2 linked regions of the Macaca fascicularis genome follow. The protein of the gene in region 1 purifies or fractionates together with the protein of each later gene. This does not show direct contact. Links are inferred from orthologs where the notes say so. Each region holds a gene or a part of one and is shown on either strand. Other genes may lie near its edges.

Evidence for each region. The genes of interacting proteins can lie anywhere in the genome.
Region 2: the proteins of POLR2E (region 1) and POLR3B purify together in Homo sapiens (affinity purification with mass spectrometry; 7 studies listed by BioGRID and IntAct, counting the BioPlex papers as one, with this or other methods). This does not show direct contact. The link is inferred for Macaca fascicularis from reciprocal best matches to the Homo sapiens genes POLR2E and POLR3B.

The regions. Positions count from the first base shown.
Region 1 is NC_088393.1:1,660,721-1,667,036, reverse strand, and holds the end of POLR2E (DNA-directed RNA polymerases I, II, and III subunit RPABC1), read left to right. Parts: intron 1-1,764; coding exon 1,765-1,880; intron 1,881-2,655; coding exon 2,656-2,736; intron 2,737-3,184; coding exon 3,185-3,243; intron 3,244-3,333; coding exon 3,334-3,412; intron 3,413-3,741; coding exon 3,742-3,807; 3' UTR 3,808-5,012; downstream 5,013-6,316. UniProt on the Homo sapiens protein: DNA-dependent RNA polymerase catalyzes the transcription of DNA into RNA using the four ribonucleoside triphosphates as substrates.
Region 2 is NC_088385.1:113,368,670-113,373,357, forward strand, and holds part of POLR3B (DNA-directed RNA polymerase III subunit RPC2), read left to right. Parts: intron 1-980; coding exon 981-1,139; intron 1,140-3,134; coding exon 3,135-3,252; intron 3,253-4,688. UniProt on the Homo sapiens protein: Catalytic core component of RNA polymerase III (Pol III), a DNA-dependent RNA polymerase which synthesizes small non-coding RNAs using the four ribonucleoside triphosphates as substrates.

The sequences.
Region 1 (6,316 bases):
AGTCCCATGGACCTCCCTACTCACCCGCAGCCCCTCATGACCTTTGCCCTACCTGTGTTCCTTGGCTCCCTCATCCTGGCCGTTGGGTGCACTTCCAACTTCTTGGCCTGGCCCAGGAGGCCCCGTGTGGGTCAGCGCAGCCTCCTTGTGAGCTGTGGCCCCTGTCTGCCCCAGCCCATTCCTCTGCACCCCATGCCGCCTCTGCCCTGTCAGCGTCCGCTACTCATCCCTCGAGGTTGTGCTCAGGCCGCTTTTCCCGGGACCCCTGGGACCCTCGGTTTCAGCACCTGCACCGTGGAAGTCTCCCCACCTGTCTGCCCCCCCAGGATGGCTCTAGCGCCCTCAGTGGTTGGGGGACTACCAGCGCCTAGGGACACAGCCGCGTGCCCAGAATTAATCAGTGGGGTGGACGGAGCGTGTCTGCCAAGCGGGTGATGCTACTGCTTTTTTTTTTTTTGAAAGTCTCATTCTGTCACCCAGGCTGAAGTGCAGTGGTGCCATTTCGGCTCGCTGCAGCCTCCACCTCCTGAGTTCAAAATTCTCCTGCCTCAGCTTCCTGAGTAGCTGAGACTGCAGGCACCCACCACCATACCTGGCTTTTTTTTTTTTTTTTTTGTATTTTTGGTAGAGAGGGGGTTTCACCATGTTGGCCAGGCTGCTTTCAAACTCCTGACTTCAGGTGATCTGCCTGCCTCGGCCTCCCAAAGTGCTGGGATTACAGGCGTGAGCCACCGCGCCCGGTCTTCTTCTTGTTCTTTTTTTTTTGAGGCTGAGTCTCTCTCTCTGTCGCCCAGGCTGGAGTGCAGTGGCGCAATCTCGGCTCACTGCAACCTCCACCTCCTGGGTTGAAGCAATCCTCCCACCTCAGCCTCCCACAAAAAGCTAGGTTTACAGGCATACACCATCTCACCTGGCTACTTTTACTTTTTTTAGTAGTGTTTATTTATTTGTTTATTTGGTTTTTTGAGACGGAGTCTCGCTCTGTCGCCCAGGTTAGAGTGCAATGGCACAATCTTGGCTCACTGCACGCTCCTTCTCCCGGGTTCACACCATTCTCCTGCCTTAGTCTCCAGAGTAGCTGGGACTACAGGTGCCCGCCACCACGCCCAGCTAATTTTTTGTATTTTTAGTAGAAACGGGGTTTCACCGTGTTAGCCAGGATGGTCTCGATCTCCTTACATTGTGATCCGCCTGCCTCAGCCTCCCAAAGTGCTGGGATTGCAGGTGTGAGCCACCGTGCCTGGCCAATTTTTTGTACTGTTAATAGAGATGGGATTTCACGATGTTGGCCAGGCTGGTTTCGAACTCCTGACCTCAAGCAATCCACCTGCCTCAGCCTCCCAAAGTGCTAGGGTTACAGGTGTGAGCCACTGCACCCGGCCTCAGGTGATGCTTCTTAAAGAGAGCATCCTGGGGTGTGAGATGTGCTTGTTGGACAGGTGGGTGCTGAGTCACCCCCCCTCCCCAGGACTGCCCGGGGTGGGAGCCTCTCAGAGTTGAAGGTCTCTGCCTCTCACTGGTCTCTGGGTGACTGAGGGGTGTCAGGCCCCCGTCCTTGTCTCTAGGTGAATGAGGTTTCAGCCCTTTCTTCCCCTGTCCTGGGATCCTGCAACTCAGGTCTCGTTTTGCAAACGTGGAAGCTGAGGTCTGAGCAGGAGAAGCGCCTGTGTGGAATGGGGCTGGAACCCAGGTGCTCTGTGGTCTGGGTGGGCGAAGGCCGGGAGGGCCCAGGGTGGTGCAGGCCAGCACATTTTCTGTCTGCAGAGGAGCCCAAGGTGGGCATCAAGACCATCAAGGTGTACTGCCAGCGCATGCAGGAAGAGAACATCACGCGTGCCCTCATCGTGGTGCAGCAGGGCATGACGCCCTCCGCCAAGCAGGTGGGCACCCCCCACCCCGCCCTTCCAGCCTCTCGCCCTCCCCAGCCTCCTTCCCCGAGCAGCGCCCACAGGCGGCTCACGTGCCTGGGGCCAGGCCCGTCAGGGTGCCCTGGAGGATGTGGCCCGGATGTCTGACAAGCCCTGACCGCCTCCCTCCCACCCCGTCCATGGCCCCACTGCTGAACCCCAGCCCCACCCCAGGCGCTGCCGTCCTCCCCTGGCGCTCGGGAGGGGCGTAAGGGCGGAGGGCGCTGTGCCTCTGTCGCCAGTGCCTGTGTGCCGCAGCCCTCGGCCTGGCGCAGCTTGCGGGAGCCGGAGGTTCCTTGTCCTGAGCCAATGTCCAGGGGGACATGCAGAGGAGGCCCGGCACGGGGCGTGTTCCCCGTCTGTGTATCGGACACTCCTGAGCCAGGCTGCCGTGCTGTGATGGGCAGTCAGCAGAGCGGTTTAGTCCCTGGCCCACCGGCTGCGGGGTTCACGCAGTCACACACAGCGGCACCCCGTATGGGGAAGAGGCCACCCTGCAGCTCTGAGGGCCGCCCCTGGAGGCGTGTGACGGATGGAAACACGTCCGAGTTTCCACGGCCTCATCACTGCTCATGACAGAGGCCCTTGATGAGCGGAGAGGCTGGTGGGGCTGGCAGTGGGGTTTTCTGATTTATGACGTGGGGTGTGTTGGGGCACACGAGTAAGCTCTATGTAGCTTGAGGCAGGAAATGGGAGTTGGGGTTGTCTGGGCCCCTCCGGGCCGTGCCTGAGCGCCACTCTCTTCCAGTCCCTGGTCGACATGGCCCCCAAGTACATCCTGGAGCAGTTTCTGCAGCAGGAGCTGCTCATCAACATCACGGAGCACGAGGTGGGCGCCCGCCGTGGAGCCTGCGTGGGGCCGGCAGAGATGCAGGGTTTGCGGGTGGCCAGGAAGATGTGGGATCTGGGGCCCAGGGTGGGTGCTCCCGTTAGTGCGTGGAGAACAGGGGTTCTCAAAGGGTGGCCCGGGACCTGCAGCAGCCAAACCCGGGAGCTTCCTAGGAATGCAGATCCGCAGGCCCACCCCAGCCTGTAGAACGGGACTGTTGGGGGTGTGGAGGGAGCCTAGTGCTGCCGACATGGCAGGAGGGGTCCCAGCGGGAGGCGGCTGTGCCCTGCCTGTCTGCCTCAGAAGCCTGTGCAGCCGGGGTGTGGGGGTCGGGGGAGGGGGGTTCGGGGCTCTTGTCCATCTGGAGGCACAGGGGCTGTGGTGGCGCCTGGGAGCCGTGGGGTCTGGCCAGCCCTCGGTGATGCCTGGTGGCTTCCTCTCTCGGCAGCTGGTCCCTGAGCACGTCGTCATGACCAAGGAGGAGGTGACAGAGCTGCTGGCCCGATAGTATCCTTTCCAGCCCCTGTCCCTTGAGACTTCCGCGTCCCCCTCCCCCTCCACGGCTCCGTCTGGCATTTTCCTGACCCTGCTTCCCAGTAAGCTCCGAGAGAACCAGCTGCCCAGGATCCAGGCGGGGGACCCTGTGGCGCGCTACTTTGGGATAAAGCGTGGGCAGGTGAGCCTTGCAGGAAGAAGGGGCCCTGGGGCTGCTTTGAGCTGACCACTCAGAGAAGGGGCTTCTCTTCCTCCGTGACAGCCCCGCCCCTCAACCCAGGGCCTAGAGGGGACCTCGAGACCACACCCCCAATCCCCCCCTCTTAAAGCCAGGGTTACTAGGCCCAGAGAAGAGCGTGACCCAGGTTCCCGGGGAGCGGGTCCTGCAGCCCAGGGTCAGCATTTTGGGCCCCTGCCGGCCATCCCCAGCCCGTGGGCTGCCCGCCTGCTGTCTGGTGACTGCAGTGAGGCCCCTCAGGCGTTCCCAGCCCTTGCTCTCTGTCTCTGCAGGTGGTGAAGATCATCCGGCCCAGCGAGACGGCGGGCAGGTACATCACCTACCGGCTGGTGCAGTAGCCACCGCCTGACAGGTGAGACGGCCAGAGGGACAGGCACTGAGGCGGGGGTGTCGTCCCCTCCAAGCTGTTCTCGCTTCATCCAGCAGCAAACCCGTCCTAGCACCAGCCCAGCTGGGCCACCAGGCGCTCCCAGGACATCTTCAGCCCCCACCTGACTACGCGGGGCGTGCATGTCCCCCGCCACTGACCCACCTTAGAAGCGAGACACGGGCGGGTGTGCGGCGGGCCTTTCCAGAAGAGGGTTTAGAAACCTGCCCGGAGAGCCCAGCGCTCGGAGAGTGGGGGCAGTTTCAGGCTACCCCTTCCCGGCGTGGGCACCTGGGGAGGGACTGGCCTGAGTCAGGAGCGGGACAGCCTTTGCTCATGTGAGAACCTCGCAGCTCCCCTGGACTCTGGTCCTGGCGAGGTGCTGTCCTGGCAGGCAGCCCCACTTCACACTCAGCCCAGGGGTGGGGCTCGGCCTGGTCTGATGCTGGCAGTTGCTTTGAGGTCAGAGCAACTGCCCACACCTGTGTGACCGCTGGGCACAAGTGAGCCGCCCAGCCTCTGCACTGTGGCCTGGGCCTCCTCCCGCCGGGCCTCCTGCCCCTCCTTATCGCTCAGTAGTGGACGTTGGGCTGTCCTGGGCCGACTAGATCTGCCCCACTCGTGTGACCACCCTCCACTTCTTTCCCAGCCCCTAGAGGCAGACACACAGACAGTGACCCCCATCCCTGCAGGACGGACGCCCCTGCCCTGCCAGAGTCCAGCCCCCCAGCTCTCACGGCTGTTGCTTCTCTGGACTCCCCAAGGCAGGTGGCCTTCACCCAAGTTCTCCCATCCTGGGGTGAGGCCCAGCCGGCCCCATTCACCTGTGGATTTGTGCAAGATGCAGCCTCAGAAGCGACAAAGCCCCTGAGGGAGGTCACCTGGGGGCAGTTGGTGCTGGGCCCCCTCTGTTGGGGGTTTGGGGTCCCGGTCTCCCACCAGCCACTGCTTCCTCCTGGGCTCTCAGCCTTCTACCCCTTGTCTTCCTTTCCTCGGGGGCCCTGATGCGTGGTGGCCCCTGCCCAGCCTCGGCTCCTTACTCCATTCACGGCTGTGCACACCCTCGAGCCACCAGGGTGTGAGATTCCAGCTCTGGAGTTTTTGGTTGTTGGAGGAGGTTGGGTGTTTTCAAACGTTAAAGATGTTTTGAGCAAATAAATTTACTTGATATGAAAACCAGGCCTACTGAAAAGGTATTTAGCAGGTGGCCTTGCGTCTCCCCAAGCACACGAGGTCGGCTTGGCAGGCGGTCCCTCCTGCTGGCATTCTCTGGCCCTGGCTTCGGAGGTCAGCGCCTCCCCAGGCCCTCACCCCGCCCTCCCACTTGTGCTCCTGGATCAGGCGTGAGCGTGTCTCCCTCCCTTCCCGTGAGGGTGTGGAGTTCTCTGGTGTGTGCAGCTGTGGTTTGCGGCCAGTTCCTCGTATAGACATTTGGGATCTGGCTCTACTTCCCCCTTTGTCTGATTTCAGAAGGCCTCGCCTGCCCAAGTTTAACCCAGCCGCCTGTGTTTATTTCACAAGAGCTTTATGAGGATGTAATTCACCCTTGTGATCGGTGGTCTGCAGGGCTCCCGACGCCCAGGCCGGGGATGGCGCAGTGCAGTCCCGCAGGGATCTTTAGGTTAAGTCTGATGGTGTGTGAGTGACAGGGACGGTGCTTCCCCTTCTCTCCAAATGTGCTTTTTTCAAAATCGTTTCGGCCAAAGCAAGCCAGACACAAAAGGACAAACACTGATTTCACTCCTAGGAGGTCGCTAGAGTCGTCAGAGCCCGGAAGCAGGATGGGGGTGCCCGGGGCTGGGGACGGGGATGGGGACAGCGTGTGTCATGTGCACAGTCATAGTTTGGGAAGATGAGAACATTCTGGAGGCCGGGTGCGGTAGCTCACGCCTGTAATCCCAGCACTTTGGAGGCCAAGGTGGGCAGATCACTGGAGGTCAGGTGTTCGAGACCAGCCTGGCCAACATGGCAAAACCCTGTCTCTACTGAAAATACAAAAATTACCTGGGCGTGGTGGCTCATGCCTGTAATCCCAACTACTTGGGAGCTGAGGCAGGAGAATCTCTTGAACCCAGGAGGTGGAGGTTGCAGTGAGGCTCAAATAGGAGGATCGCTTGAGCTCGGGAGTTAAAAGACCAACCTGGGCAACACAGAGAAACCCCTCCCCTCTGCAAGAAACTTAAAAGATTACCTGGGCACAGTGGCTCACACCTGTAATCCCAACACTTTGGGAGGCTGAGGCGGGAGGATCATTTGAGGCCAGGAAGTCAAGGCTGCAGTGAGCTACGATTGTGCTACCATACTCCAGCTTGGGCCGCGGGGTTACACCCTGTCTCAAACAAAACGCAGTTCCACGGGCGTATGGGCCACGTTTCCAGTGCTTGGTGGCCACGTGGGGCTGGCGTGTGGAACCTCAGAGCTCAAGAACACGTCCGTCATCTGGAACGTTCTCCTGGACTGCCCTGGGCTGCAGGTGGACA
Region 2 (4,688 bases), on another chromosome or scaffold:
CCAAAGGGAAAAAAGAAAGAAATGCAGCCACAGAATCTTAGGAAATTATAGTGTTGAAGGAATGACAGCTGTTTTGGGTAACTCTACAACTCATGGATTTTTTTCTTTTAGGGATTCAGTGGTTGAGTTTTTTTGCCCCACCCAAAGGTTTTTCTTCTGTCCTTTTTGCTTATTTTTCTTCCTTTTATTTTTCGGATCCATTGGTAGACAGCTTATTTTTCTTAATGTTCAGATTGTTAGTTGACTTCACAGCTTTTCCCTCATCCACTAGATAAATGCAATCTAAAAATGTCATTAAACTCCAATCTTTAGGGCAGAGAACTATTTTTCCCATTGAAATAATTTGATTGTTCTTTTTTCATTCTGTCTCTTCTCTGGAGGAAAATTAGTGTTTTTACGTGCTGGCTTAGAACTTGCTCCAAATGCCAAATTTTAAAAAGAAAAACTTTCCAGGGAAGGTTAGCAGAAGTTGTGCACCAAAAGGATGTGTGTCCTGGCTCGGGAGTCAGTGGCCTTGTGCTGTTTAACACAATCCTCAACTCTGCTGCCAGCTTGCTAGATGACCTTGGCCACTTAATTTCTCTGGACCTCACTCCTAGTGCCTGTGAAAGGGATAGGTTAAGCAGGTGATTTCTAAGGCCCTTTCCAATTCTAATATTCTATGGCTCTGTCCTCTGAAAGAATCACAGTGCCAGTCTTAGATTTCTCTCACCCTTCTCCAGTTGTATTCCGTGCAGAAAATGGTTGTAGAGATTCCAGTGTTTACACAGACAGTAGGTAGGGGACAAGTCCTGTGCCACTTCTTCAGATTATCAGATTTTTATTTGGTTTGTACTGGTCCCAGATTATGATCAAATACAGAGAAGCTTTGGGATTTGGGGGAGAGTGAGGTGGAGTGGATTGCTGAGTAGCACAAATCCATGTTTTCTTATAGCTTTGGATTACTGGTGGTTCTAATGCCCATTTTGGTTTCGTTTTAGGCTTTGGGCGTTGCCTTGTATATAAAAATGCTAAATGTACATTGAAACGATATACCAATCAGACTTTTGATAAAGTAATGGGGCCCATGTTGGATGCTGCTACAAGGAAACCTATCTGGCGACATGAAATCTTAGATGCAGATGGTATTTGTTCTCCAGGTAAAAGCCTTTTGAAAGAAATATTTTTAATATATACCTTTGAAATCATGTGTTATTCCATAATATTTCTGAATATTTGACAAAAAGGGCAGAAAAACGTAACAACCTATAAAACCACTATCCAGACTCAACCAATGAGGTCATTTTTGATGAATTTCCTTCCAGTTTGTTTTTCTATACACTATGTTTTTACCTATCAGTAATCTATGCTAACTGTAATTTTCTAGTTATGATTTTGAATAATAGAAAAGCCACTTTAAGGAAATATTTAGAGTAGTTCGTGTCCCTGCATCTGCACTGGTATTTCTTCATTTACGCATTTAGCTTACAGACTACTTTAGAATTTTATCCCCCTGCAAAGGTATGACTCCATTATAATTACAAACTTGTAATGCATTTTGTTGATGAAACAAATAGTCCTTGCCCTTATGGGTCTCACAGGCTGGTGCAGGAGACTGACATTGATCAGAGGATCATGCACAAACGCAGGTTAAGGAATCATATAGGTAGCTATGAGGCCATTTTATAGCAAGAGGATTTGACCTAGTTAGGAAGATCAGCATGGCCTTCCCCAAGGAAGTGAGCTGGAATCTGAAGGATAGGGAAGAGTTAACTAAAGAAGAAGGTCAGGGAGCGTGTTCTAAGTAGTAAGAAAAGCTTGTGCAAGGGTCCCGGAGCTTGGTAGTTGAAAGATCTGAAAGAAGACCAGTGCGGCTAACAAGAAGAGAGTGCAGGGAAGCATGGTGCACATGAGTTGGTGGGTGACGCGCGGGGTAGGTGCCAGAGTAAGCAAGTCCTTGCAACTGTGTTAGTATTGTCTTTATTTTATTTTATTAATTTTATTTTTGAGACAGGGTCTCAGTCTGTCACCGAGGCTGGAGTGCAGTGGCACAATCTCAGCTCACTGCAACCTCTGCCTCCTGGATTCAAGCGATTCTCCCACTTCAACCTCCTGGATAGCTGGGACCCATAGGCGCGTGCCACCATGCCTGGCTAGTTTTTTGTATTTTTTGTAGAGATGAGGTCTTACCATCTTGTCCAGGCTGGTCTCGAACTCCTGGGCTCAAGTTCTCCACCCACCTCGGCTTCCCAAAGTGCTGGGATTACAGGCATGAGCCACCATGCTGAGCCCGTGATACTATTTTCATTTTGATCCTAAAAGCAGTGATATATTCAGATATGTGTTTTGAAATGATCATTCTGACTACAGTGTAGAAAAAGGATTAGAAGGGCACTGAAATAGAAGGTAGACCTGGTACCAGGAGCTGTGGTGAAGGTGGAGAGAACCCAGTTGTTAGGAGGAAAATCCACATGACTTTGTCATGGTTGGCCTGTGGGTGGTGAATGCTTTATCAAGCTGTGATTCCAAAGAGACACAGAGTACGTGACTTCTCCTCCCTCTGTCTGCCTTTGTTTCTTGGAGGATTTTTCTCATCCTAACACTGGTCAGTATGGCTTGGAAAATATGCGCTATGACAGTACTACAGGTAGTTGGTCTTTGAGCTTACCAGGAAGAGATACAAAGCAAAAATGGGAATAACAGCAAAACCAAAGAAATATTTTGATTTTCTCATTGCCCAAGTTGAATTGGTGGTGGCTTATTACTGGTTGAAATAACTGTAAATAAAAATAAGTGATCAAAACTTAACATCCTAAGAGATATATAAAATTGCTATTTACTGAGATGATGTTTCTTATGTTAACATAGTCCTCTGAATTATTTTCTTAATTTTATATACACTGTGGGGTGTGTGTGTGTGTGTGTGTGTGTGTGTGTGTGTCTGTCTGTCTGTCTGTCTGTCTCATTCTGTTGTCCAGGCTGGAGTGCAGTGGCATGATCATAGCTCACTGCAGCCTCAACCTGGGCTCAAGCAGTCCTCCTACCTCAGCCTCCTAAGTAGTTGGGACTACAGGCATGTTCATCTGTGCCTAGTTCGTAATCTTTATTCCACACAGATGATAACAATATGCCTAACACTTTTCTTTTCTTCTCAGGTGAGAAAGTAGAAAACAAACAAGTGCTTGTAAATAAGTCCATGCCCACGGTGACTCAGATTCCTTTGGAAGGAAGTAATGTACCACAGCAACCACAGTACAAAGATGTACCCATAACGTATGTATTGGTTGTGCCTTGATAATATGTAGAAAGGTTAGAAAAAAGGGAAGGAATGGGAGAAATTAGAAGGTAGGTCTTGGTGTGTTGGAGAACTAGAAATAGCAATTTGGGGTAACATTACTTGTCATGAAAAAAGCATGGCATAGAATATAAAACTAGTCTATGGAATCATATAGACCCTAAACTGGGTTTGAGGTATGGACCACATAGGCAGGGGTTCCTGATGGAATTAACAACAGGATGAAGGGTACATGGCATAATAGTGCCTGGGTTTGAGGATCAGTGCAGCTTGCTGGGGCTAGGTTGTGAAATTGATACTGCAGAGAGGGACATGATAAGAGTCATATTTTTAAACAGTGAAACACACTGGCCACAGCATGGCATCACAGTATACTAGAACATAGCCCAGCTCTCGTACAGGTTGTCTTGTGTATCTTACATGAGTAAAGCATTTAAATTCTGTTAGCTTCAGTTTTTTCATTTGTATAATACAATGAAAGAGTTAGACTTGTTAATCTCTAAATTTCTTCTAAGCTCTAAAATTTAATAAAGTATGAACCTAGTGAGAAGGGCCAATGATAGTCACCACATTGTAATATAAAAACCAAACTAGAAGAGATATTTAACCTAGCCAAGGTGAACTAGGCCAACTGAGTTTAGGAGGTGGCAGTGAGGGTGACATAGGAGAACTGGATTCTTGAGCTGTGATGGCAGTTTTACAAATGTATTCAATACACAGTAGCTGAGGCCTGCTGTGTGCCAGCCACCCTGCCTCTTGTGCCAGTGATATAGAGCTGAAATAAGCCACAGGCGTTGCTTGCAAGGAGTCGTATTTAGTTGGCAAAGACCCCCACACAAAAAAAGTGCGGTAATGACCGTGATCATAATAGCTTATTGGGAATTTATACTGTACCAGTTACTGTTCTGGACATTTTACATGTGTTAGCTCAGTTAATCCTACCACCACCCTAGGAGCTGTGTTCTCTTAGTGGCTCATTAGAAAGATAAGATGGAAGCAAGGAGAAGTTAAGTAACTTACCAAGGTCACACAGCAGTAAGGGGCAGCACCAGGATTTGAAGTCATGCAATCTGGCTTCAGAGCGCTTCTCTTGACCATTGTGCTAAACACAGCAAGAGAGTTATCTCGGGTGCCATGGATTTGTCTCTGGAGGAGGAGCACCAAGGAGAAAATGGGCAGCTATGCTTAGGGGATGGTCCAGACTCTTACACTGACTTCTACAGGGTGAACAGCTATTTTACAGTTACAGAGGTGGCTCTGCTGGTTGGCTCTCTTCCTGTCTTGAAGGAGGATATCTCTTTTTCTGTGCAAAGTTCATCTCTCCTTTCGGTTTCTTAATTTTATTCACTCTTTTCAGAGACCTTTTTCTGTCATCTTCTCTTTTATCCTCCCATATTTTCAACCTGTTTCCTAT